Arabidopsis thaliana: one gene and its partner. The protein of the gene in region 1 interacts with the protein of each later gene in a pairwise test. Each region holds a gene or a part of one and is shown in the gene's direction. Other genes may lie near its edges.

Region 1 (4,678 bases):
TAGGTGGTGGTTACCTTTTTGGCCTGCCAGTAGGATTTGTAGCCGACTCTCTTGGAGCTACATTAGGTGCAACAGCGGCATTTCTGCTTGGTAGAACGGTATGTCTCTTATGGTTCCATCTGTTTTAATATATTTCGCTTGCAATTGTGTTGCTTGCCATAACCACAGAAGTACTGATTCCTGTTTTGTGCGTCCTCACATCTAGGCATTTTATCTAAGTGTTGCATCTTGGCTGTCTCATTGTTGCTAATGATATATCTTTTGTCTTTCTGGTATCATGCAGATTGGTAAATCTTATGTCACTTCAAAAATAAAGCATTACCCAAAGTTTCAAGCTGTTTCCGTTGCAATTCAAAAATCTGGCTTCAAGGCATGAAAATCTAGTAACACTCTCTATAATAATTGACAGTTTGTTTTCCTTCAGAGATCTACTATGCGTATGGCAAAGTACCTCAATTTCCTGGCTACATTTAATTGATTGACTACTAACTAAATGATGATATTTTCTTCCTGTGCAGATAGTCTTGCTGCTACGCGTTGTCCCCATACTGCCCTTCAATATGTTGAATTACCTCCTATCTGTAACTCCTGTTCGCTTAGGGGAATACATGCTGGCCACTTGGTTGGGAATGATGGTACTGACATTTCTTTAAAATCCGCTTGTATATTGGCCATTTATACTTTAATAATGGTGGAAGAAGTTAGCATGCATGTTAAAGTGCTGATTGCTAACATTATACATAATAGTAATTCTAATCTTCTGAATTGTTTTGATGTAGCAGCCCATTACATTTGCGCTAGTATATGTTGGAACTACTCTGAAAGATCTTTCTGATATTACACATGGATGGCATGAGGTGTCAGTATTTCGTTGGGTAAGTTTTCGCTCATTTACTTCCACTTGACTAGTAGATTGGAAATGATTGTAGATGAGCTTGAATGAAGTCAGAAGAATGAAGATAGTTTTGTGTTTCTGCTGTAATGCATAATTACTTATCACTTATCATTTATACTGAGATTACTAGGTTTAGAAGTTTGTAGTATTAGAAAAATAACAACTTGTCTGAAATGAAGTTTGAAGTATGCCTTATTTTATGAGGTTTATTGGAAACATCTTGGTGTATATCCCTCAATATAATGTAGAGTTGCTTATTTTCCATAATATGATAGACATTTCTGGGATCTGAAATATTGAGAATGTAGCTTAAAAATCCTGAGGATGAGGATTTATAACCAAGTCCAAAGCATCCTATGTGTAGGGAAGAACATTGTGATAGTCTCGCATCTGCATTTATTTAGTTGGTATTTTGTAGCTTTGATTGAAGTATCTGAGTGCCCTTGCATTGTAAGTCTGATTTCTCGTTTCTTCTGCATTGTCATTTGTGGATGCAGGTAATTATGATGGTTGGCGTAGCTCTAGCTGGTAAGTCTCTTCTGCAGTCATGTCCAAATATATATCTAGCTAGCTTCACTACATTGTGAGAAGTGGAATGACACCATGTGGTCTGTGTTTTAACCCGTCTTTTTTTGGGTTTTTGAATGATGTGGGTGCAGTAATTCTGATAATATGCATAACAAGAGTGGCGAAATCATCCTTGGACAAAGCATTGGCTGAGAATGGTACTGAATTAGATGGGAAGAAGAATGACGACGCTTCCGTACTCCCGATCGCAGAGCCACCACCGGATCTACAAGAGCCTCTCGTTATCAGAATCGACCCATCCAATACTTGAATAATATAGACAAGAAGAAACCTCTTGAGTTTGTAAATTTCGCGAAATTTTCTTACCGAGTGAGTTATTAGAAACGTTTTGTATAGCATCATAATACCATACTTCACAGTTTAATTCGTTTGTTCTTTAGTTGATTATTTTGGTATATACTTGAGGTTTTGAAATCTTGTAACTTGTAAGAATGCCCAACCGGTGGCTACAATAATTAACCGGAAATTAATTTGACTCGAGTCCTTATCAGACCGGTTGAATCGGTCGAGTCAGGTCGGGTTAGAAAATATCAATATTCGGGCATATTCCTTGGCCTTCATACGTGTGCGTCTGCCATTTTTTTTCTAAACTCCGAATCCCAAAATTGTTGCCTTCCTTCGTCTCCGATCATTTTCGTGGTGTCTGTAACCCCAATTACAATTCGAATCCATTAGCGAAAGAAAGAGACTTCCTTTGAAAGAGAAGAGTCTCGTTGGCTCGGTTTTCTGTTCAAATCAGCGGATTTCCTCACATTTAATTGTTCAATCATGGCGGCTACCAATGTCATGCGGCGAGACGAGAGCCTTCTTATTGATCCCCAAAGAGGTAATTCGAAGTTCATTTTTGATAGGCCCGTGTTTAGAGAAATTTATGTACAGGGGAATTAGGGTTTCTGATAACAGAAATTCTTTTTTTTTTCGTTTCCTGGGAATGAATTTCTTAGGGTTTCACTTGCAGGAGATACAAGTGTTTCTCGTGGCCTCTCGCTTGAGAAGAAAATTGAGGCCCTTGAGAGCCTGGCCGGACAAGTGAGTGCCTTTTTCACTCTTGTTTGATTTTCTTCATTACATTTTCTGGGAAATGTTGTCTATCGTATCGGACAGCCAAAATTGTGATTCTGTTAGTCAGTTTTTTTCTGATTAATACTTGAGATGTGATTTTCCTGTATTTCTTCATCTAAAGGTTGCTTATTTAAGACAATGAGATTGATTTTACTTGAGATGAATAATTGAGGTTGATATACTTGTAGCTAATGAGTTTTTTTTTGCTAATGCAGGTTAGTAACAGGCGATCTCGGAGATGGTTAAATGATCGTATTCTGATGGAACTTGTTCCTCGTTTGGATGCCCAAGAAATCAGAGGCTTGTTTGCTCCACCACCGTGGGGTAATATGACATTCCATTCAAAGTTTTACTCTTCTTGTATAATCTCAAATTGAGTTTTTTTGCCATGTTTTCGTCTTTTTGCTATTGTTAACATATAACATCGTTTCACTGAGTCCACAAATGTTCTACAGGTGATGATGTCCCACCCTCAGCATTTTCTTTGACTAATGTTGGAGAATGGGACAAATTTAGAAACATAGACATGGACAAGGAGGTAACTTACATGTCTTTTGGGACTGTTTCTCAGAGAAGAAGTGCACGTTACTATATTTCTCTGAATATAATTTGTTTGTAGAATCAGTGATGTCATTTGTTTGACATACTTGGTCTTAACTATTGTTAGGAATTGTGTTTTTTTCAGGCCAACATCATGGATTCCTTGAATAGGTCATCCGTAAGGCAGAAAGGTAGCGTGGACGGTGATAAAATCGCTGTCTTAAATGCTTGGAGAAGAATAGATTGTAGGACAAGAGATGCTCTTCGACGTAGCTTTTTACCAGAACTAATCGAGGGATATGAGGTATAGATTCTTCAGATATGACAATGTAAGTCATACATGTAAATATAGACCCTTTGCTTCTAGAATTCAGAATCGTTTATTATTTCCACAGAGCTGTATAAGTCACTTCATCGAGGAAGGTGGTGAAGGAGATGTTCTTGAGCTCAAGGTTCAAGACCCATTCCATAGATTGCTTTTACACGGTGTTTGTGAGGTATGAGCCACGACATCACTTGCGCTATTTTCTGCTAAGATGTTGAATGAAGATATAGAGAGTAACAACCTAAAAGAAACTGTTTTCTTTGGAGCAGTATCACAATTTGGTATCAACAACTGCAACAGAACAGATAGGAAGGATAGCAATGAAGACAACGAGCATCAAATGGAAGAAGAGTGGCGATTCAGGGGAGAAACCAAGCATCAGCCTAGCGCATTTCCTTAGGATGTCAAAGGAAGGAGCTTGGTAACAACACATACACTCCTTTGTAGCTGTGGTTTTTTATGAATATCAGCGCCAATTTAAAGGGCTATTTATGCAGCAAAAAGATCTCAAGACTCTCTCTCTCTCTCTTTGGCCTTTGCTACTTCCCCCTATGTGGCCTCTTGTAAGCTTGTATTTGTATCCTCAATTTATACGGTTTTATGATTAAAGAACGAGATAGACAATAAATTTTATTGAGTGCTGATTGTGAATTTTGAATCTTTAAAGTTATATTTTTGTTATTAACTTGTCGAGGCCTTTGAGTTACAAAGCCCAACAGTTGGAGTTCCAGCTCAGCCACTAGGCGTTATTACGTTAACGAAATTTCCAACGGTCAAAAATAGTGTTTCCTTTTTTCGATGGGGATATTTATGTAATTTCGGCTCTCTCGGCCGAGTTTTCCTTTTCTGCAATGGGGTATTTAGGTAATTTCGACTCTCTCACAGCCAAGTTTTCCTTTTTCTCTAGGTTTTATGTTGGGTTTCTGATTCAACGTACATAAAATTGTTTATAAGTATAACTCCAGCATCAGAGATCCATTCGATAGCGACTTCTCTCTCTCTCTTTTCTGATATCAGAAAAACTTTCTTTGTTTTCTCTCTTCCTTTTCTCATATAGAAAAACGTTCAGAGATTCATTCGATAGCACTACCTATATTAGTCGTGAATTTTACAGTGTTTGATTCATGAAACAAAAGATACGGTCGATTTTTGTTTTTTGGGGATGACGATCAGAAGCAAAAAAAGCAAAGGCTATCGTCAAGAGATCAAATCAACTTGCGCGGACTCCAACACTTTGTTCTCAAAAGGTATTTTTTTTCCTTATCTCT
Region 2 (5,023 bases), on another chromosome or scaffold:
TGGGGTTTAACAGTGTCTATATATGTATTTTTGATATTAAATTAAATTTTATTTTATCAATTTTGTTAAATAGTGAGTTTGATAGTAAGTAAATAATTATATATATTTATAGAGTTTAAGTTAGAAAACGTGTTAAATTGGTAAACAATTATCAAATTTTGATGGGATACAGATTACATTTTGAATAAAATAAGATAAATATTGATTTTTCATGGTTTTAATAGGTTTTTTATTTATAATAATGTCTATATAGGTATGTATTTGATGTAAAATCATTAATTTTATTTTATCCATTTTGTTAAATAGTGAGTTGGATAGTAATTAAATAATTATGAATATTTATAGAGTTTAAGTTACAAAAAATGTGTTAAATTGGTAAAAACAAATTATCACATTTTGATTGGATACAGATTAAATTTTGTATAAAAGAAGATAAATACTGATGTGTCAAGGTTTTAATGGTTTTTATTAATAAAAAATGTCTATATATGTATGTATTTGATATTAATCATTCCTTTATATTTTATCAATTTTGTTAAATAGTGAGTTGGATAGTAATTATATACTTAATTATGTATAGATTTATAGAGTTTAAGTTAGAAAATGTGTTAAATTGGTAAAAATTTATCAAATTTTGATTGGATACAGATTTGATCAAATCTCTCTTTATCACCTTTGATTTAGTATAAAATAAAACCAATATACATTCTAGACATATAACATTTATAGTTTGAGTCTTCTTTGTAGTATTGTGCTCCTCGTCTTAATTAACTAATCACAAAAAAAATGAAAGGTGAAAAGAGAGTCAAAGAAGTGATTTGTCTTTATAGTCGTGGATTATACTATTTCATTGCCTTGAGAGTATCATTACAAATCCTCTTAGACATTGAACCCCCTAGCTATATGCCCGTATACGTGTAAGGAAATTCTTGTTGTATATAGATTTGATTTGAAGTAGTTATTTGGATGATTTTTAATTGTATTATGTCTCATCATGGCCAGATACACAACTCTGAGGGCTGCGAATATTCCATACATTGGTATGGTAATTTGGTGCTTGTGCAAAGATGTTCTAGTCCCAAGATATCAACTAGGACCGGAGGGGCGGGCATTCTTCTTCTTGGCCGTGATGATACTTATGTATTGCATCTCGTATAATGTCCAAGGCGTAATGAGCAGAGTAGAGGGGTCCATAATTGGCGTGTGTCTTATACTAGCGGGGATTTCGATCGTGCAACTCTCTTGTCCAATAAAAGATTTTACAGTTACACATACTCTGTCCACCACTTACTTAGGAGCTCTGTTTGCAATCCTCGGTTGGTTAGGCACATCCTCATGGTCCTACTTTATTGGAACCCTTTTATGTTTTCCTATAACCTTATTTATCATCTACATGTTGGTTGATCCTTTGGATGACAACTAGATCAGGCATGATTCCCAACATGATATGAGTGACATATATCTATAATAATTAAGATGGCTTCCAATATTTTTACAAACTGTAAACACCAAGAACACTGTTTTCCTTCGTGAATAACAAACAAATCTTTCATACTGTGAAGGGCTCAGTTGTTAAGGAGAATTATTAAGAGTTTAAGACCTTGTTATAAAATAGCTATATGTGGTTTTTTATTTTCCTACTACAGTACTTAAGTACTTGTTTCATTATTAATGTCAAGAAAACTTGATTCGTATAAATCGTGTTCTTGGGGTTTAAGTTACAAATCTATCTGCCTTATATATTGACTACAACTCAAGTATAGAGCTTAACTTAGGAGTAAATACTTAACTAATAATCCATAACTAATAATTCTTAATATATATATAGAGAGATCAATATTCAGGCTGCTAAAATATAATTGGAAATTCTAGGTTACTCATGAATTTTGTGTAAGTGGAGTATAACTTGTGAATATATTAATGTAATTTCCACTAAACGGCAAGTAGTTTTATTTGTGTGAAATGGAACGGCAAGTAGTTTCGTTCGTGTTGAAACCGTAATATTCTATTGGGCTTTTTCACACGGAAGCCCATCTACATATTTTTTCTCGTGGTCCGTTGTTGCATCGCAAGAGCACTAAGTTTGAAATTCGAAAACCAAATCGTCTCTCTCTCGCTCGATGCGTGTTGCCTGTTCGGATTCTGGATCTCTGTTGAATTGCTTTCTGGGGACTTGTTTTAGTTTGGTATTTGTTCGTTTGGCTTAGGTTTTAGGGTTCTGTGATTTTGATAACTCGGGGTTTTGTTGATTCCTGAAGATTTGGGGGATTTTAGGGTTGATGGGTTCCACAATGGAGGATGAAAAAGATGCGTTTTACATTGTGCGTAAGGGAGACATTATTGGTGTCTATCGAAGCTTGAGCGAATGCCAAGGGCAAGCTGGTTCATCTGTAATTTCTCTGTTTATTCCTTTTATCTTATTCACTGTTGAAGTTGATGTCTGCATTATTAGGGCTTACATATGTTTTGTTTTGGTTTCAGGTATCACATCCTGCAATGAGTGTGTACAAAGGATATGGTTGGCCAAAAGGAGCAGAGGACTTGTTATCTTCGTTTGGGATTAAGAACGCTCTTTTTTCTGTCAATGCAAGTCATGTCAAAGATGATGCTTTTGGGAAACTCATTCCTTGTCCTGTTCAGGTTTGACACACAATCTTGATCTAACTAACATTCTTGTATGAGCGACTGAATAATAGAGAGTGATCTTAGTGCAGATATCATATTTTACAGGAACATCTACTCAGTTGCTTGTCTAATCTGTGACATTATTTTAGTTGACGTTCAAAATTCTGTTCTGACTTTTGATTTTTCATTTCAGCAACCGTCTTCTTCCCAAGGAGAGTCTCTCAACAAATCTTCCCCGTCTAAGAGATTGCAAGATATGGTAACAACTGTAAATCTTTTCTGTTATAGAGACATAATTCATTGCCTTTGCTGCTGGTGCTATGTATTAGTAACTGTATGTTTTGCAATCTCTTGAAGATAATGATGAAAATTCTTGTGCCTCTGATCTTCAGGGAAGTGGTGAATCGGGTTCATTTTCCCCTAGTCCTCCGCAGAAGCAGCTTAAGATCGAAAATGACATGCTTCGTCGGATTCCTTCCAGTCTCCTAACTCGGACACCTATACGTCAAAATGTAATAACATCCAACAAAATTATTCAGTCAGATGCTTGTTTTCTTCTTCTGCATCTTTATAATTCCTTTATCTATCATTCGCCCTCAGGATTCATGTACCATTGAGTTTGATGGTGCTTCTAAAGGAAACCCAGGGAAGGCTGGTGCAGGAGCTGTTCTCCGTGCTTCAGATAATAGTGTCCTCTTCTATTTACGGGAAGGTGTTGGCAATGCCACAAACAATGTTGCAGAGTATCGAGCTCTGCTTCTTGGTTTGAGGTCTGCTCTTGACAAAGGGTTTAAAAATGTGCACGTCTTAGGCGACTCAATGCTTGTCTGTATGCAGGTCCAGATATAAAATTCACTCTTATCTTTTGTCTTGTTTGAATTATTCATGTTTGTGCCTTAATTGTTTTGATAACTTGGATTCGACAATGGAACAGGTTCAAGGTGCATGGAAAACCAATCACCCAAAAATGGCTGAGCTGTGCAAACAGGCTAAGGAGCTCATGAACAGTTTTAAAACATTCGATATCAAACACATTGCCAGGGTAAGCCACCAAACCCGCTTGGTCTAGCTGCTGATTTGCTTGTGATCAACTCTGTAGTCCGTCTGCGCAACAATCATTAGATATCCAATCATGTTTGGTTTTGAGAGTTTTAGTGCGAATTAGGACCAAGTATCTTTGAGTTCATTTGATATGAAGATGACCACTAATTGTAAGCTGTCCGGTTTGCAGGAAAAAAATTCAGAAGCTGATAAACAAGCTAACAGTGCGATTTTTCTGGCAGGTGAGTTAGATGAAGTTCTTGAAAAAAAACATATGGGTTTGATTTTTGTGTATGGATCTTGAAAGAAATCCATACGCATCGCTAACCAGGCTTCAATCAATTTTTTTTTTTTTGTCAATGTGTATCCAGATGGTCAAACGCAAGTGATTTCAGGCGGCTAGAAGAGATTAGTTTAGTGTATTCCTGTTTTTGTGTTTCCGGGATCGTGTCTTTAACATGCTGTGTCTTGGCATAAACATGAACATGACGATGTTCTCTTCTCTCTTTTATTCTGTCCCCATGACTGTTGAGATTTCCAGTCACTTGTTCTCTAAGTTAAAATTTCTGAGAATACGTTTATTACTATTTCTAAGAATATGCTATGTGTTGACCATAAACATGAACATGGTAGAACATGTTCTGACTTCTCTTTTGCTCTGTCCCCAGTCTGTTAAAACTTCAGTCACTTGTTCTCTAAGTTAAAAATTCGCAAGAACATGTCTATGTTTCTCTCCCTTTTTAACACTTTTCTTGCATTCTAGTTCGATAATTTCAATTATGAATGTCTCCCTTATGTTATTCAAAACCCTACTCATAAAATGGGAGGGAAAATTGGTAATGAGAAATCTGTTAAAACCAAACCGAAATTTATGAAATGGATCACAAAAAGAAAAGAAAAGCCAAACTCAAGATAAATTACAACAAGCCCACTAATTTTCTACACAAACTATTTACAGTTTCCTTTTCCCCCCTTTTTTTTCTGGTTGTTTGTATACACCCTCGCATTAACAGTAAAAGACGAAGAAAGAGTGTGGTAAAAAAAGATAAATAAGAAAAGCTCACATCAGAGTTGGGACGATGATCTAGCACCACCATTACTAATGGATCTTGGTTGCCTTAGAAGCTCAATCAACGCCTCAGCCTTTTGCTTAGCTCGACTTGTTCCTGCCTGCGACAGAGCCACTAGCGGAGGTATCGCTCCTTCTCTAGCCACCATTGTTCTATACACAACACTCTCCTCACAAAGCTGTAGCAATATCGACACAGCCATCTCTTTCTGTCTCTGTGTTCCCACCTCTACTATCTCCACCAGCACCGGAACTCCTCCTTCCTCCACAATCGCCGGTTTCGATTCC

What was found.
Region 2: the proteins of AT1G03250 (region 1) and AT3G01410 interact in a two-hybrid assay, tested with the Arabidopsis thaliana proteins (one large-scale study listed by BioGRID).

Annotation. Positions count from the first base shown.
Region 1 is NC_003070.9:792,733-797,410, reverse strand, and holds AT1G03250 (R3H domain protein), read left to right. Parts: upstream 1-2,034; 5' UTR 2,035-2,251; coding exon 2,252-2,309; intron 2,310-2,341; exon of another isoform or gene 2,342-2,441; coding exon 2,442-2,512; intron 2,513-2,760; coding exon 2,761-2,869; intron 2,870-3,000; coding exon 3,001-3,083; intron 3,084-3,212; coding exon 3,213-3,389; intron 3,390-3,480; coding exon 3,481-3,582; coding exon of another isoform or gene 3,583-3,588; exon of another isoform or gene 3,589-3,679; coding exon 3,680-3,835; 3' UTR 3,836-4,052; downstream 4,053-4,678. Other genes in the region: AT1G03260 (SNARE associated Golgi protein family), read left to right, coding at 1-98, 284-370, 519-635, 783-875, 1,393-1,423, 1,555-1,733; AT1G03240 (uncharacterized protein), read left to right, coding at 4,573-4,657.
Region 2 is NC_003074.8:152,696-157,718, reverse strand, and holds AT3G01410 (Polynucleotidyl transferase, ribonuclease H-like superfamily protein), read left to right. Parts: upstream 1-2,061; 5' UTR 2,062-2,279; coding exon 2,280-2,390; intron 2,391-2,481; coding exon 2,482-2,640; intron 2,641-2,818; coding exon 2,819-2,884; intron 2,885-3,017; coding exon 3,018-3,137; intron 3,138-3,225; coding exon 3,226-3,462; intron 3,463-3,559; coding exon 3,560-3,667; intron 3,668-3,856; coding exon 3,857-3,908; intron 3,909-4,037; coding exon 4,038-4,069; 3' UTR 4,070-4,376; downstream 4,377-5,023. Other genes in the region: AT3G01415 (tubulin-tyrosine ligase), read left to right, coding at 787-917, 1,003-1,423; AT3G01400 (ARM repeat superfamily protein), read right to left, coding at 4,732-5,023.